Lepisosteus oculatus: one gene and its partner. The protein of the gene in region 2 binds, or shares a complex with, the protein of the main gene of each other region. Links are inferred from orthologs where the notes say so. Each region holds a gene or a part of one and is shown on either strand. Other genes may lie near its edges.

Region 1 (6,978 bases), on a different chromosome or scaffold from region 2:
CCCATTTTGTTAATTACAAATGGTGAATATGCAATGCTTACAGGGCTCCCTGATCCTTCTGAGATTCAATCCCGTCATTCATGGGAGCTGAAAACGTACAGCGCCACTCCCTAGACAGCAGATTATTCCTCAAAAAACAGAAAGAGTTATACACTTAGCTTTCAGAGGGGGTTGAAATCACTTCTGTAACTGGTCAGTGCATGGGCCCTGTGACAAAAACACATTTTTCAACTGAAACTGGTGGCGCACTGGGTAGCATTGTTGCCTCGCAGCGCTGGCTGGGTTCAATTCTGGACCTGGGGTGCTATAAGAAAGGAGTCTGCATGCTCTCCCTGTGCTTCTTTAGTGTGCTCCAGTTTTCTCCCACAGCTCAAAGGCATACTGGTAGTTTAATTGGCCTCTGTAAAACAACTGGCCCTAGTGTGAGTCTGTGTCTCAGACTGTGCGTGGGCCTGTCCTGGACTGGAATCCTGTGAAGGGTGTACCGTGCCTTGTGCCCTTGGCTCCCCTACAACCCTGAATTGGATGATGTGGTTAGAAGATGGACGGCTGTTTTTAATCAAAACCTAAATGCTCAAACTGTTCAAACCTTTGCAAGGCACTGTACGTTCATATCAGTCAATTATTTCCTGTTTAACACAATAACTTTAAAACATACAACTATTTTATGGTGTGGGCAAATAGACAGAGACCTGAAATAAGGATCTGAGAATCACGATGACTTGAGAAAATGGAGTTGAGCCATTGTTTCCATTCGTCAGTGTCCCTTGGGGAGAGTTATACCATCCACCTTTGTGTGCTGTCTAACACTTTACCCTGGCAACCAGAGGGAGGGTGATTTTGGAATCAGTATGTTTCCTGCCGCGGTGGGATGAAATTCTCTGTGCTCCTAGCCAGCAACAAAGCAAATGAGGAGTCTCACTGCAGGAATACTTACTTAATCGACCAGCCAGCAGCTCAACCACCTGTCACAAGACCCAAATTTAGCAGTGTGGGCATGCATAGCTATCAGTAGACGGTGCAGTTTTATCACGTTCTAGTTATCAGGAAGATAATGTTGTATGATCTTCAGGAGAATCAAATCTCATATGTGCATTTGTGGAAAAAAAAAGATTTGGAGAAAGAAGCTGGATCCTTAAGTCTATGAGACGGAGTGGTGTTCCAAGCTGGTTAACTTTTTTATGTTCTGGTGTATACTTCAGTAGTGGTGGAATAAAAGATGAGATGCCTGCCACCACTGTACATTAGAGTTTCTTCCAATTTCACACTGTGGCGTCATACATTTCCCCTTGGTTGGCTTCATATATCTAAGATCTCCTCATCTTTGTTATTGAAAAATTGTGATTGAGAAACAAAGTTGTCTTTTCATTTGGATTTTAAAAAACAAAAACAACCTAATTGTGTACCAAAACCCCTCAATTCAATTTCACTCCTGTCTCAACTTTGAGGAGAAACAAGATCTGCATCATAAATTAACATTCGCACAGAAAATAAAAAACGTAAGAGATGTAGAAATGAAAGACATTTTTCCATTTCAATTAAACCTCGTAAGCCACTCATCGCTGATAAATCGATCTTTCAGTACTATACCGTGTTTGCTATAGTACAAATATCAATTAAAATAACTTATAGCAAAAGTATTACAGTTTATTAAGTTAACTCAAAAGACAGACAAGTGTGAATTTGTGATTATGTCATGTTATTTGTTGATTCTGTGAACATCCCTTCCCCTGCAGTGCAGAACAATGTACAGCTCAGAGACCAGTGTTCAGTCTATGTCTGTCTGGAGCTGAGGAGTCAGATGTCTCCAAGACACTGTCAAGCATTCTCAGCACATAGAATAGACAGCTGCTCTCTTCCCTGTGAGTGTGAAGACAAATAAAGGAGAGAGCGCTGAAAAAAATTATAAATATGAAATAATTCTCTGCTGACAGAAATGTCCAAAGTGCTGTACAAAGACAAGATCATATATTAATCATTAAAAATCAATTAAATGAAGATACATTTCAATACCCAGCACTTCTAGTTCTAGAAATTAAATAAAACTTTCTTCAGCACGCAGTAGAATTGAACCTCCACACACAGCTTGGAGTCAGGAGTCTGACATTGTTAATTAATCCCTGCCTTACTTAAGGAACAGGAGGCACAAGTCATTACGTGTTACCCAGGGGTGACTGTCTTAACAGACCGTATGATCTGCCATGGAAATTGTGCACAATGCTGAACAAGGGATCAATGTAGATTAGTCTGTAAAACATTACTGAAACTGTTTACTTAATAACAACTAAATGTTTGTCAGTAAATGCTACAATTTAATGATGAAGTTAATAAATGTGTCTAAAAATATACAGACAGCTGTCATGTAGTACTTATGTCTACATATTCAAAGATCTAAAAAAAATCTATTCTTTTAAGGTGGTATCTTTCCTGTTAATTGTTTTCCAATTTCCTTGTTATGATTATTCCCCCCAAATTCTCTTTTCTATTTATAATCTTGTTTTTCCCCTTAACTAAAATACAAAAAACATGTCTGAAAATCTCTGGAGCTGTGAAGTGGAAGCACTGCATTGCACAACGTTTTAAAAACCCATGAAGCACTTTTCAGTAAAGTACATTACAGCATTATGGTCACCTTTTGAAAACAGAAAACATTATTGTATGCATAGACATGTCATAAAAAAAATGTATTAATCTTTCCCACCTACCAAGCACAAGTCTAAAATAATTAAACTGTCACATTTTTACATTTTGATTTTTTTTTACTTTAAAACACTATGTAAATATCATACACCATTCTAAAACATTTCAATTATATTATGATTTTATCAGAGAGCACTAAACGATGTTGCAGTTTATTTCTTTATTTGAGTAAATTAAATAATAATACTGTATATGTACTGTATATAAGGGTTGCCTAGTGGAAATGTTCCTGCGATAAACATTGGTGCTGTACCTTGAGCTTGTGCGTTACCCCGTTTGCTCCAGTCTTTCCAGCTGTGCGAATGGAAACTTCCATTGCTCTGCAGGGGACTGGCGTTCCCCTCCAGAAGGCGAGGAAGTCTTTCCTGGTTGTTTAATGTCGCGGAAAAAAGCTTTATCTCTGGCCACTAATGAGCCGTTGTGGAAATAACCTACGGAAAATAGAATGTAGAATTTGATCAAAGCTTATTTCTAGTTTCTCTTTGGCCATGGGTTTAATGAAATATTTTAAAAGTATTATGCATTTTATTGTTTTTATGATCATTAAAAAAGTTATGAAATCTTTGTGTTGTTGGACCATAAATTTGCATTTGTAAAGCAAAAAGTAATGCTACAACAAAACAAAAACTTTTTAGAATGTGAAATAATCTGACTTTAGGATATTTAGCTAAATAAATATATTTATAAATATATTTAGTTTTTTATGTAATTTATTTCTACTACTTTATATATGCGTAGTAAAGTTATTAGTAACCGTTTAAACGCTATGTCGATGTGAATGCAGTATGTCACATTTTAATATTTTTTTTTACTTCAAAACACTACACTTTATATATCATAAACCATTTTAAAACATTTCAGTTGTATTATGATTTTATTAGAGTGCACTAAACGATGTTACAGTGGTACACGCTCTGAGGGTTCGAGACAAGCCAGCTTTCAGAAGGCAAATCTAAAAAATGAAGCACAGGCATGTTAGCACAATTAACATATCTTTCAAGTTCATAAATATATAAAGTATTACATTTTCATGTATTCTTACTTGACAGTAAAAATAAACTGGATAATGTAAACATGTCTAACTAAATTATAATTTAAAATAATATGTATTTCATTCTATAGTTATGTGATAACTACCCTACTTCAATTTTTTTTTAATAATGGGAGCAGGCTGAACTAAAGGTTAGAAACCACAACTTTCGGTTTGTATGACAGTGCGTCGGTGTTGTAGCCAATCACTAACTGGTTCCGGGTTACCAAGGGTCAAGCGTTACCATGGATACAGTAAATAAACAAGACAGAAGAAGTACCAGTAAGGTATGTTTGGAGGGATATCTAAATAATGTAATTTGTGTCAGGGTGCATAGAACAAGTTTCCTTCTTATTTGTGTTATGGGTATTGCAAACATGTTTTTGCAATATGTTTTTTCCATTGTAAAATGTCATATTTACATACTTAGGAGACATTTCATCTCGTGTAAACCGACACCATCGAATTATATTATAGACACAATGTTAAGGGGCTGTGTTTTAGACACTATAGTGTGCTAAGTTTTGTGCTCTTCCTGAGGGTCACTGGGAAAATACAAAAATAACAATAATAATGTAGAATTGCTGAAAGTTATGGAGAAATAGGATAAAGGCATGGAGGAATAGTTTTGCCCCAGTGTTCTTATAATGTATAATTTAAGGTGTTTATCTATAGTGGATTTGGATTTTGGATTATTAGTCTGACATATAATTGTTTCTAATGCAGTCAATAAAAAACAGAATAAAAACACCACTTAAAGATGGGACAGAATGTTGCCTTTTTGACTACTCAAGACTGTTTGTTTAGGTGATCAATAAGATTCAACTGTGTCATCATCAACTCAACTTGCTGGTCTGCCATTCTACTCCATTGTTAATTCAGCCTGCTGTTTTCATCTTTTGAAGATGGCAGCTGAAGGGAGCTTTTAACAACATAAACAACACTATTGTCTTGAAGGGCATAAACTGTGTTGATCCTCATAGATATTTCAAATGGAGAGTGAAAACGTAATTAACGCAGGTTTGCAATTAACATGAGGCTGTCCTTTTCCTACAGGGATTTGATTTATGCTTAAAATCAATCAAACAGTATAGTGGAATTGATCAGTTAGGATCCTTCAGGATTTACTTAGAAAAATGTTCTTGGTACTTTACTTAGCTTTTAGCCAGTAAGCCTGTAAAGAGTTGTTTTTATGCTGTTTGGAGTTTTGATGCAGAGATGGTATTATGGAAAAATGAGTGTATCGCTTTCGTTTGTCTCCTCTTTCTTTTCAGAAGACAGGATTGTAAACATCTAGGGCATACAGGAAGATGCCGGATATCATGGACATCCAAAGCAAGGCAGCAGCCAGTCCTGGCACAAAGCCACGCATTTATCCGCCAGTGGCCAAACTCAATCCTGTTGCTGACCCACGGAAAATGAGAAGGATCATTGCGGAGGACCCAGAATGGTCTCTAGCTGTAGTTCCCCTTCTTAAAAACCTGTGCCTACAACATATCGTTAAAAACTTCCATAGTAGGTTCTTTTTGCCTTTATCACATTTTTATGATGATATTGTAGAGCATGTATGTGAGTGTGGCTTTCAAGTGAAAGCATGTGAAGCCAAGAGCCTTCTGGAATTAACATATCAGGTTTTTTAAAGTCTTATTAAACAATGGCAATATTCAGACTTCAGAAACAGTTTTTTAAGAATATATTTAGAGACTGGAAATCCAAAGAAAAAGGATGGAAAAAGGAAAAAGGTTTTAGATTTTGAAGTAGTTCAGGTGAGTAGCTGCGTCAGCATGCGTAGGCTGCAAAGGAACAAGTAATAGGTTTATTCCATGTGGAAGAAGGCTTGGACACCTGAAGAAGGCTCCACGGCCGAAATGTTGTGTTTTCTTTCTTCTTTTTCTCAGCATGGAATAAACCTATTACTTGTTCCTTTAGATTTTAAATGCATGCTTTACATGTGTTAACACATGTGTTAACCACTTGTTTGTTAACAGCAAAATCAAAGTGCAAAGACGTGTTAGAATGTGGAGTCTTCGGGGCACATTGTATTCTAGAGCTACAGTATGATAAAGTCCTGACTAGCTTTACTCCTGTTTTCTAAACAAATCTTGTATTCCCCAGATGACTTCTGGTCTGATTCTCATTTTACTCCCTAATTGAGAAGGATAAATTCAAATTACATGTCATTGCTTTTATAGATTGTATGACTAAAACAGAAAGAAAAAAATAGAAGCACTTAATCTAAATTTAACCAGTTGTAAAATGTTAAAGCTCTCAAAAACCTTTAATGATCAATTACTACCAAAATGTATAGGTGTGGCAGTAATGAGTTTTTAAATATGTCAGAAACCATTCACTTTTAGTTTTGAACACCAAAATAAAATTTCGTACATCTTTTTTCTGCATGATTTAACATGATAAAATATACATTGAGAATGAAGATCATGATGTGTTTGTGCCCCCAGTGAATCATACCATTTCATAAGACCTTTTAGCAGGTTTCTGTATGTCACAATTCATGACACATAATATTGAACTGGTGAGCCCCAAAGTAATTTCATTTCAGTTAGAACTTGACGCCATTTCTTCAATCAAGATTAAGTGTAAAGTCTGTTCTGCTCTGAAGCATGCTCTTGAGTGAGGCTTAATGAAAGTCAGTGATGAAACTGTCTGATTAACCACAGAAAAGACATTTTAAATACAAGACACAGTGCGTGTTAGGAATACTAAAATTTATTAAGTTCCAGTATGAAAACCCTGTAGTGCTCTTGATCCAACACTGACACTGTGGGGATACAAATTACCTCCATTCTCTCATGGACACTTGTTATTTATTTGAAGGAGTAGTTTCTATTATGTATATTTCCTTTAAAGTACTGTGAAGCAATACTATGACTACATCGTTACCTTCCCAGCTGCAAAAAATCAACTCTTAAATCACACAAAACACATTAAATTGAATATTAAGGAAATAAAACAACATATTACATTAAACAGAGTATATTTTTTCAGAATTTAACATATTGGTCTATAGGCAAATACCTCAGACATTCCAGAGATCTGCCCTTTCTTTATCTCTTTAAAATAAATCTGTATTAATGGATGGTATTTGTTTAAGGATGGAACTTTGTATTTCATTACTGTTTGTAATTAATTAAACAATATATAGAATTAATAACTATTAGTATAAGAAATATCTGAATTTTATTTTTTAATTACTATCAATGTATGAATGTATTCAATGCTAATTTATT
Region 2 (7,592 bases):
GCCACTTAGGTTCCCTAAGACTTTTCCTTTGATTCTTTGTTACTCTCAAAGAGCAGACTTCAGTCTTTTAAATAGATCCATGATCTCACCCCCATTTGCCTGCATTATTGTAAAAAGGAGTCAGTTCCAACACACAGCAGGTGCAGGGAAGTCTGTTTTTTTCCATTGCCTAAATGCTCACCTTCTCCTGGTTCACCAGCAGGGGGCACTGCTGGTGTGTCTGGTCCAGCAGACAGAGCTCCTTCGCTGCGTAGCCGCTGACGCAGTATGCATCATAGCCCGCCCCAAGCAGCAGGGAGCATAGCAGGTTTGCGAACTCGAAGCAGGTCCCACGCTGGCACTTCAGCACCCAGGTAGGAGAACGAAGGCACTGGGGCTGAGGAGGATTAAGATTGGTAGAGTAGGCAGTCATACCCGAGATTAAACATTCAAATTCCAAATGCAGTCCGTCACAGGCACAATTTATAAAAAACAATTAACATAGCCAGCCATGCTATAGTGGTCAGATGACCTATTTTCTCCCACTACGGATTCTAGTTGTATTTTTCGGTGCTGTTGCCTTGACTTACCAGATCTACAGGGGGATCCAGAGGCTCGACAGAGAGATACTCAGATACAAAACACGCACAGCCACCCCAGCTGTACAGTTCAGGGTAGGACAGCAGTGTTGGGCGCAGCGTGGTGCTCACAAACTTCTGTGCAGGGAACAAGAGACAAAAAGTGAGTAAGAGAATAGACTTCACTCATTTGTAACCTCTTGTAAGACTCACCATTTCTTTAAAAAGGCAACCTTGATATCCTACACAAATAAAGAAGCTCAGTGCCCAGTACAAGAAGACAACCTTACAATCCAAAGCTTATACAAGTGCTCAGCACCAGTGGCAATGAGGGGAACTGCTGCTCACTGTTGTACTCAGGCTATCAAACAGTTCTGTAGTTTTAATGTAATTTAGTAGCATTCAGGTTTTTTTACTGACCATCCCAAAGATGCACCAAACCTGTGGCTGTTCTGCACCCTGACAGTGAGAAGATTTGGTTGAGGCTAAGCAGCTACTGAGCAAAATTAGGCTCCTGGCAGGACATAATCAATATCTGTGCCATACGAGATGTAGAAGAGCAATACAGTTTTCATGCAATTGCAAGTTCTGTACAAGAGTCACCTCCTCTACCTCATCCATTTCCTGACCCAAAAGTCCTGCCTAGCACACGTACCTCAACCCCACACTCATTGAGGGGATTCAGGAACAGAGGTTTGCGGTCAGGATACAGGTGAGCATATTGAGAGCGGAAATTATCAGCAATGGCCAGCAGCAGCTTCTCCTGGGAGGAGTTCTCCTTGTACGAGGAGGGGAATTCAGAGAGATCTATGGACGACTTAGTCACTGGTCTGAAAAGATGGACAAGTCAGTCATTATTATTATAGTCATTATTGTGTGCACACACTGCACACCCATATATTGAATGTCAAAGGCTCAATCAGTGTGAAACACAAGACATAGGAGCCCACTGAAGTTCAGGAAGAAATCTTTGAAGTTCAAGAAGACTTCTGTCTAGCATCCACTAGAAAAAACTAAACATCATGAAAAGCTGTACTTACTGTGGGCTAAAGGACATATCTACTCATTGTGGGCAACTAGAACTACAGCTTCCAGACTTCTACATCAAGCAATGACAATGATACAATCATTGATTCAAGACCCAGATTACCCAGATTCAAAAGCAATAGAACAATGTCATTGTTTTACTCCCACAGCTGTTAACCTGCTCAATTTGGATAATTAACTGTACATTTTACTTTTAGATACATATTTATTTTCTTATGGTACATGTATGTCTTATTTGTGAATGGGTCCATGTTGTGTTAAATGTATTGCGTACTGTGTTATGTCAGTTACCTGCTTGCAAAGCAAATTTCCCATTTGGGACAATAAAGTAAGTACAGTAATGTTGACATGAGGTTTGTACTCACTGCGGGCTGGCAGGGGTAGTGATGTGTATTTTGGACAGTGTCTCCTCCAGATCCTGCAGCTCTGTATTCAGATCTTCATCCCCTGCCTCCTCCTCCCCCTTCCACTCTCCAGCCTCAGACAACTGCTCCTCTGGCAGCGTCTCCATTTCTTACAGGACTGAAAATGAGAAAGAGGAGGACAACCTGAACTCCACAGGATCACCTCTCACCCTGTCTTCAAAGGGACAGAACTATCAATCAATCAGAGTTTATTTATCAAATGCACAATAATACAGCGTGCAGTTATTATTATTATTATTATTATTATTATTATTATTATTATTATATTATAGCAGTAGTTGCTGGCAACAAAATGTCTATCAATATCAATTACATCATATTTTTGTTTTACTATTCTTTATAATCATATAATCATATAATTGTTCTATCCATTCTTTATTTGAATTACCCTAAATATATCTATAAATATATACAGTAGGAGGCATCAGATTCCTCCTGTTAAGGAGGATTCCTTGTGCTTATTGTGTGCCTTGTGCTTATTGAAACAGAAGGCACAGAATTAAATTATCTACTGTAATTACCAAGAGAAAACAGTGTAACACAGTACACCTTGACATTTTATGTTAAATACATTTAACAATTACAAGTTTACGTCGTGCCACAGAACAGTGTAAATATATCCTTACTGCAGCTGCTAAATATTTAAGGAAGCTCGACCATTTTCCGTTCAGTATACAAAACTAAATAGTTTATCCGGTTTCATAATTTATTTACGGTTTAGTATACGATAGTTTAACTATAGTTTATAAACAGTTTCTGAAACTTCTAACCCCTGTTTTCATAAATCACATTGTTTATTTACTCAGCCGCATAATCAACAGGTACATTCTACTGTCACTGATTGTTTTTTACCCCTTGTTTCATTTTTAAACATGTAGATATTGAAATAAAAGATTAATCGCACCATTCCCCATCACAGTACCTCTGAACGACCGTCCCGTTTACGACCGTCTCCATGGCCACGGCAGCGCTGGATCACGCTGTTCCGTGGCCCCGCCCCTTGCGTAAGCAGCGTGAGGAGACGAGCTGCGGGTTTCTCCTGGTTTGAACTATTGAAAAGCGCGGACATTTTCTACATCTGACTAGTGCTACTTGAAGATATAGATCTTAAAGGACTCCTACGGTTTCATTTTCGATTTTGCACGTGAAAAACAATTACCAAATAACAACAAAAAAAATAAGGCCACATCTTCCTTTTATCTTCTGTATCTTCATGTACAGGCTACGCTCTTAAATACCTGACCGAGCCCCGACCCTTAAAAAGCAGAAAGTATTCTAAGACTTGATGATCTCAAGTTCTAGAAATCTTCTATTAATTAATTAACCCCCACCTTTTGGAAACAGCAATTGCTTGGGGGGGAACTCATGAAAACAATCTAAATGCTAAAAACATTGATCTGTTGAGTGCGGATTCCGGAAACCAGATTCTCACCAGAAATAAAAACCAGACTAGACTAGACCAGACCAGACCATATACGTTTCAAATGTAGCTCCCTCGGTTGTCACGTCGGCGCAGTGGATCGTATTGCTGTGGCCCTGGGTTCCATTCTGGACCCGGGGTGCTCTCTGTGTGGAGTCTGTGCTCCCCTACGATTGTGTGGGTCAATTCCAGGTGCTCTGATTTCCCCCTTCAGTCCAAAGACATGCTGGTAGGTGAATTGGTTTCAGGGAAGATTTGGCCCTGGTGAGAGTGTTTGTGTGCGTGGTTGTATCCGTGTGTGCCCTGCGATAGACTGGTGTCCTGTCCAGGGTGTATCCTGCCTCATGCCTGTTGTTTGCTGAGATAGTCTCCGGCTCCCTTCTGACCCTGTATGGGCTGAAGTGGTTAGAAAATGGATGGATGGATTTCTCTTGAATATTAAACAGTCACCCACTTTGTATCACATTTACGCCTTCAGAGGAAAACTGAGCCCAGGAACAGGCGGGAGGATTGGACAACTACACATGTGCATACTTATAAAATCAATGGGGAAATACTCTCCTGGAGTAGTTCACTTACGAAGGTTGTCCATTGAAAAGTCTGTAGTGACACAGTCATACAACTAGAGGTCGCCAGAATTGCTTCAAAGGACTGGTCTCACCTACAGTATATGAACTGATAGTTTTGATCATTGTCCTGGAACGCAGACAATCTCACATGGGATTCATGGTTCACTAGAAGTGGGGTTTAAACAGGAGTGCTTTTCTGTGATGGACTGGTCTCTCTCATCCAGGGTGTATCACGCTGTGGGCCAGTTGCTTGCTGGGATTGGCTCCGTCTCCCCCACCACCCTGGACTCGATAAAGCAGTTAGCGGTTGTAACTTTGTTAAAACTCTCAAAGTCAGGATCACCACATAGACCACTCATGTCCCATCAGTGTTGGAGAGTTCTATGTGCAAAGGTTGTTTGACCAATGTTACCAGAGTCTGCAATGTTCCACACTATGTAATCATTGGATAACTACATTGCAAATTACCCTGGGTGCCGAGTGTCTGCCAGCAAATAAAGATAGTGAAATATTTGGTACGAAGACATCAGATTTCCAAATATTTACTAAAGTAACCTATTGTTCTGCATGAAAATAAAAAGTTGTCTTCTACAGATAGGGAATAATCCAATGAATTGAAATGGATAACAGTTTGAAAGTATGCAGCTGCCTGTATTTTGGGGAAATTTGAACTTTCTACCTTTTTCCATCTGTATTACAAAACAGGTCTGCACTTGCAATCTCTGTGTGACTGCTGTTAATGTTTCACAATGTTCATATAGTACACATCAACTGTTTAGCTGGTTAGGGGATCAATAGTTCATAGGTGAATTAGATAATGTTTCTGTTCACCAATCCATCAGACAGAAAAGAAACATATTCTTAGGGAACTTCCCCTGTAGAAGAACTTCTCTGATTCAGTATAGGACACAACTTGTAAGTGCAAGCTAAATCAAAACAGACAGTAGCTTTCTATTCCAGAAGCGTATCTGGTTGCAAACAATGCTTGCTCATGCCTGAGTAACTTACCCGACAGAGGAACAGTGGCTGGGATCTTTAAGCAGATGCAGAGGATTGGATTTGATATCCTATCCTTTCACAAACAATGGTAACAAAACAAGGCCGCTGATGACATATCAGCCAGTCTTGATTTGATTTCAAGGCAAATGACTAAACTCTGACACAGTCCTCACACTGTCTGGCACTTCAGTCAACAACATTTTCATCATAGGCTCAGGATTTGCACCTTATTGCATCAATTTGCAGACAATAATAGAACTGCAATGTTGACACAATTGGTCCTGCGGTGCAGCCATAGATACCCGGCTCTCGTACAGGACGCTGGACTTCAGTGGTGCCGTGTGTAATAGGTCTCTTACTGTAAGAGTTATGTCACTTGTCTGGTCTGGACTGTGCAATTGAGGCTCAAGTGATGACAGTTCAAGTACAGGGTCCAAATACACACACTGCTTCTTCCTTCAAACTGAGTCTTGCTGGGGTAAGTGCACTGTTGCTCCTCCTAACCTGCCACTCATGGTGGCAATGGGATCCCTGGCTCCCCCAGGATTGAAAGGGACTATAACACTGTAGCGGAGGCCACTCTGATCAAGAGGTTGAACTCACATTGTAATGACTCAACAAGCTCTTTACCACATTCAAGTCCACCGGGCCACACAATTAGCAGTTACATATATATTCAATTCAATATTCCAGTAATTCACCAGTAAACCTGGAGCGCATTTCTTCAACTTGAGACAAGATAGCATTGTTCTGAGTGACTGCATTAAAACAACATTCAGAGTTAATTGAATAATGTCAGAATGGAGCAAAATAACAGCTTGTATAAAATAAGTATTTAATACCAAAAATACCTAATAAAATACCTGTTTTATTTGAAATAAATAAAATACTTTTTTATTTTTTAACCAAATAAAAAAGCTGAGAGGAGTAATTGAGAGATGAGGTCAAATTATTGCGAGAAGCATCTGTAACCCTTAAAGTCTGGACTTGCCCATCCCAGGCAGAAGATTTCTAGCACAGAGTGATTCCTTTTTGGCCCACTGTCCTCCTCTGAAAGGCTAGGCTTGCCCCTCGGTGTAAAACATTGCATAGAAATTGTTTACTCTAGCCAGAGCTCAGATAAAAAGCTTGTGATTTGTCAACGATGTCTAAAGCCGGAGTCTCATCAGTATTCAGGTGGTGGTGAGATCTGACTGGAGCATTCCACTGGCCTACAGGGTGCTGAGTGCGTACACTGGGCTTCCAGCGTGGGAGAGCTTCTGCCAGAGACTCTGCCCTCGCAGCCTTTTTCTCCATTGGCCCTGATAAGACAGCTGCAGAGGCTCATCAGCGCAGCAGCGAGAGAGAGAATCATGGGCCGCCGCACCTCTGTGTCGCCTCTGCTTCTGCTGCTGGTTCTGGGTGTCTTCCCCCGGCCTTCGCCCGGATTCTGGCTCTTCAATGTCATCTTTCCTCCCAGCGTCGAGCCCAGAGAGTCCCAGACGAACAGCACCCCGCCTCTCATCCTAGGTGAGTGTCAGGGAGGGCAGTCGGGTTCCGGGTCTCCGGAGGAGTGGCGGCCTTTTTGTATTCCAGGAGCATTTTTCGAAAGTATGCATTCAAACCTACCGAAAGCCGTGCTCTTTCAGCTGGTTTGTTAATGCAGTCAGGAGCGTTAAATAATGACACAAAGGCCTGCTGTTAGGTTTCAGAAATAGGTTTTTGTTTTGGGAACATGTGTTTTGTGAAAAGTAGGGAATATCGTATGCATCTTTGCGATTCCAGTGGGTGTTCTATGAATAGTGAACTCAGACTGAGAATTGGTTGTTTCTACTTCATTTATCATTCACCACAACAAATATCCTGCACTATACAACAGCTTCTAAAATAGCCTCTGAAGATACTATTATTATACAGACCTGTAGTCAAAGCTTTTCTCAGAGTGGAGATACTATCAGTTGGACATGACCCCGGTTTCGGCCTGCATTTTTAACACTTGACTGTTCAGGTTTCATTTGCACTGATAAGCTGTGAGCACAGCTTGCCAGGGGTGTCTCATACAGCATGCTGTACTATACTGTTGCACTTTTGGACAAATCTGTGTAAGGAAGTTCAGAGTAGATGATGGACCTATTTAGACTGAAAGTAGAAGATACTTTTTTGCTCAGAGATTTACCACCTGTCCCTCCTAACTGGCTCCCTAGGATACATCTGGATAAGACTCAGTCACACAGTTCTACTTTAAGTCCAACAAATAAGATGGGAGTTAACCTCCTTTAGTTGTGATCACCCTCTGTCCTTGCATTCTTTTTTAAAGTTAGACACAAGGGAAAAACTGGGAACGAGAATCACGATGAATCATTTACAGTAACTCACTCCAAAAATAGGGGAATAAATTGAAAGGAGGCATGTAAAGCATTCTGACCTGTGACCTCTTACCACTGCACAGTGCCAGGAAACCTGGGAAACCGGCTGGAAGCCAGGATTGACAAGCCCAGCCTGGTGCACTGGCTGTGCTACAGGAAGACGGAGAACTTCTTCACCATCTGGATCGATCTCAACATGTTTATGCCCATTGGCATCGACTGCTGGATAG

The links. The genes of interacting proteins can lie anywhere in the genome.
Region 1: ccdc135 (region 2) and tcte1 share a complex: the UniProt entries of both Homo sapiens proteins name them as parts of the nexin-dynein regulatory complex. The link is inferred for Lepisosteus oculatus from reciprocal best matches to the Homo sapiens genes DRC7 and DRC5.

The regions. Positions count from the first base shown.
Region 1 is NC_090697.1:43,242,812-43,249,789, forward strand, and holds the start of tcte1 (dynein regulatory complex subunit 5), read left to right. Parts: upstream 1-3,970; 5' UTR 3,971-4,017; intron 4,018-5,004; 5' UTR 5,005-5,040; coding exon 5,041-5,245; intron 5,246-6,978. UniProt on the Homo sapiens protein: Component of the nexin-dynein regulatory complex (N-DRC) a key regulator of ciliary/flagellar motility which maintains the alignment and integrity of the distal axoneme and regulates microtubule sliding in motile axonemes.
Region 2 is NC_090715.1:11,489,684-11,497,275, reverse strand, and holds the start of ccdc135 (dynein regulatory complex subunit 7), read right to left. Parts: upstream 3,010-7,592; 5' UTR 2,952-3,009; exon of another isoform or gene 2,934-2,951; intron 2,127-2,933; 5' UTR 2,116-2,126; coding exon 1,970-2,115; intron 1,388-1,969; coding exon 1,213-1,387; intron 696-1,212; coding exon 570-695; intron 377-569; coding exon 182-376; intron 1-181. Other genes in the region: lcat (phosphatidylcholine-sterol acyltransferase), read left to right, coding at 6,370-6,526, 7,446-7,592. UniProt on the Homo sapiens protein: Component of the nexin-dynein regulatory complex (N-DRC) a key regulator of ciliary/flagellar motility which maintains the alignment and integrity of the distal axoneme and regulates microtubule sliding in motile axonemes.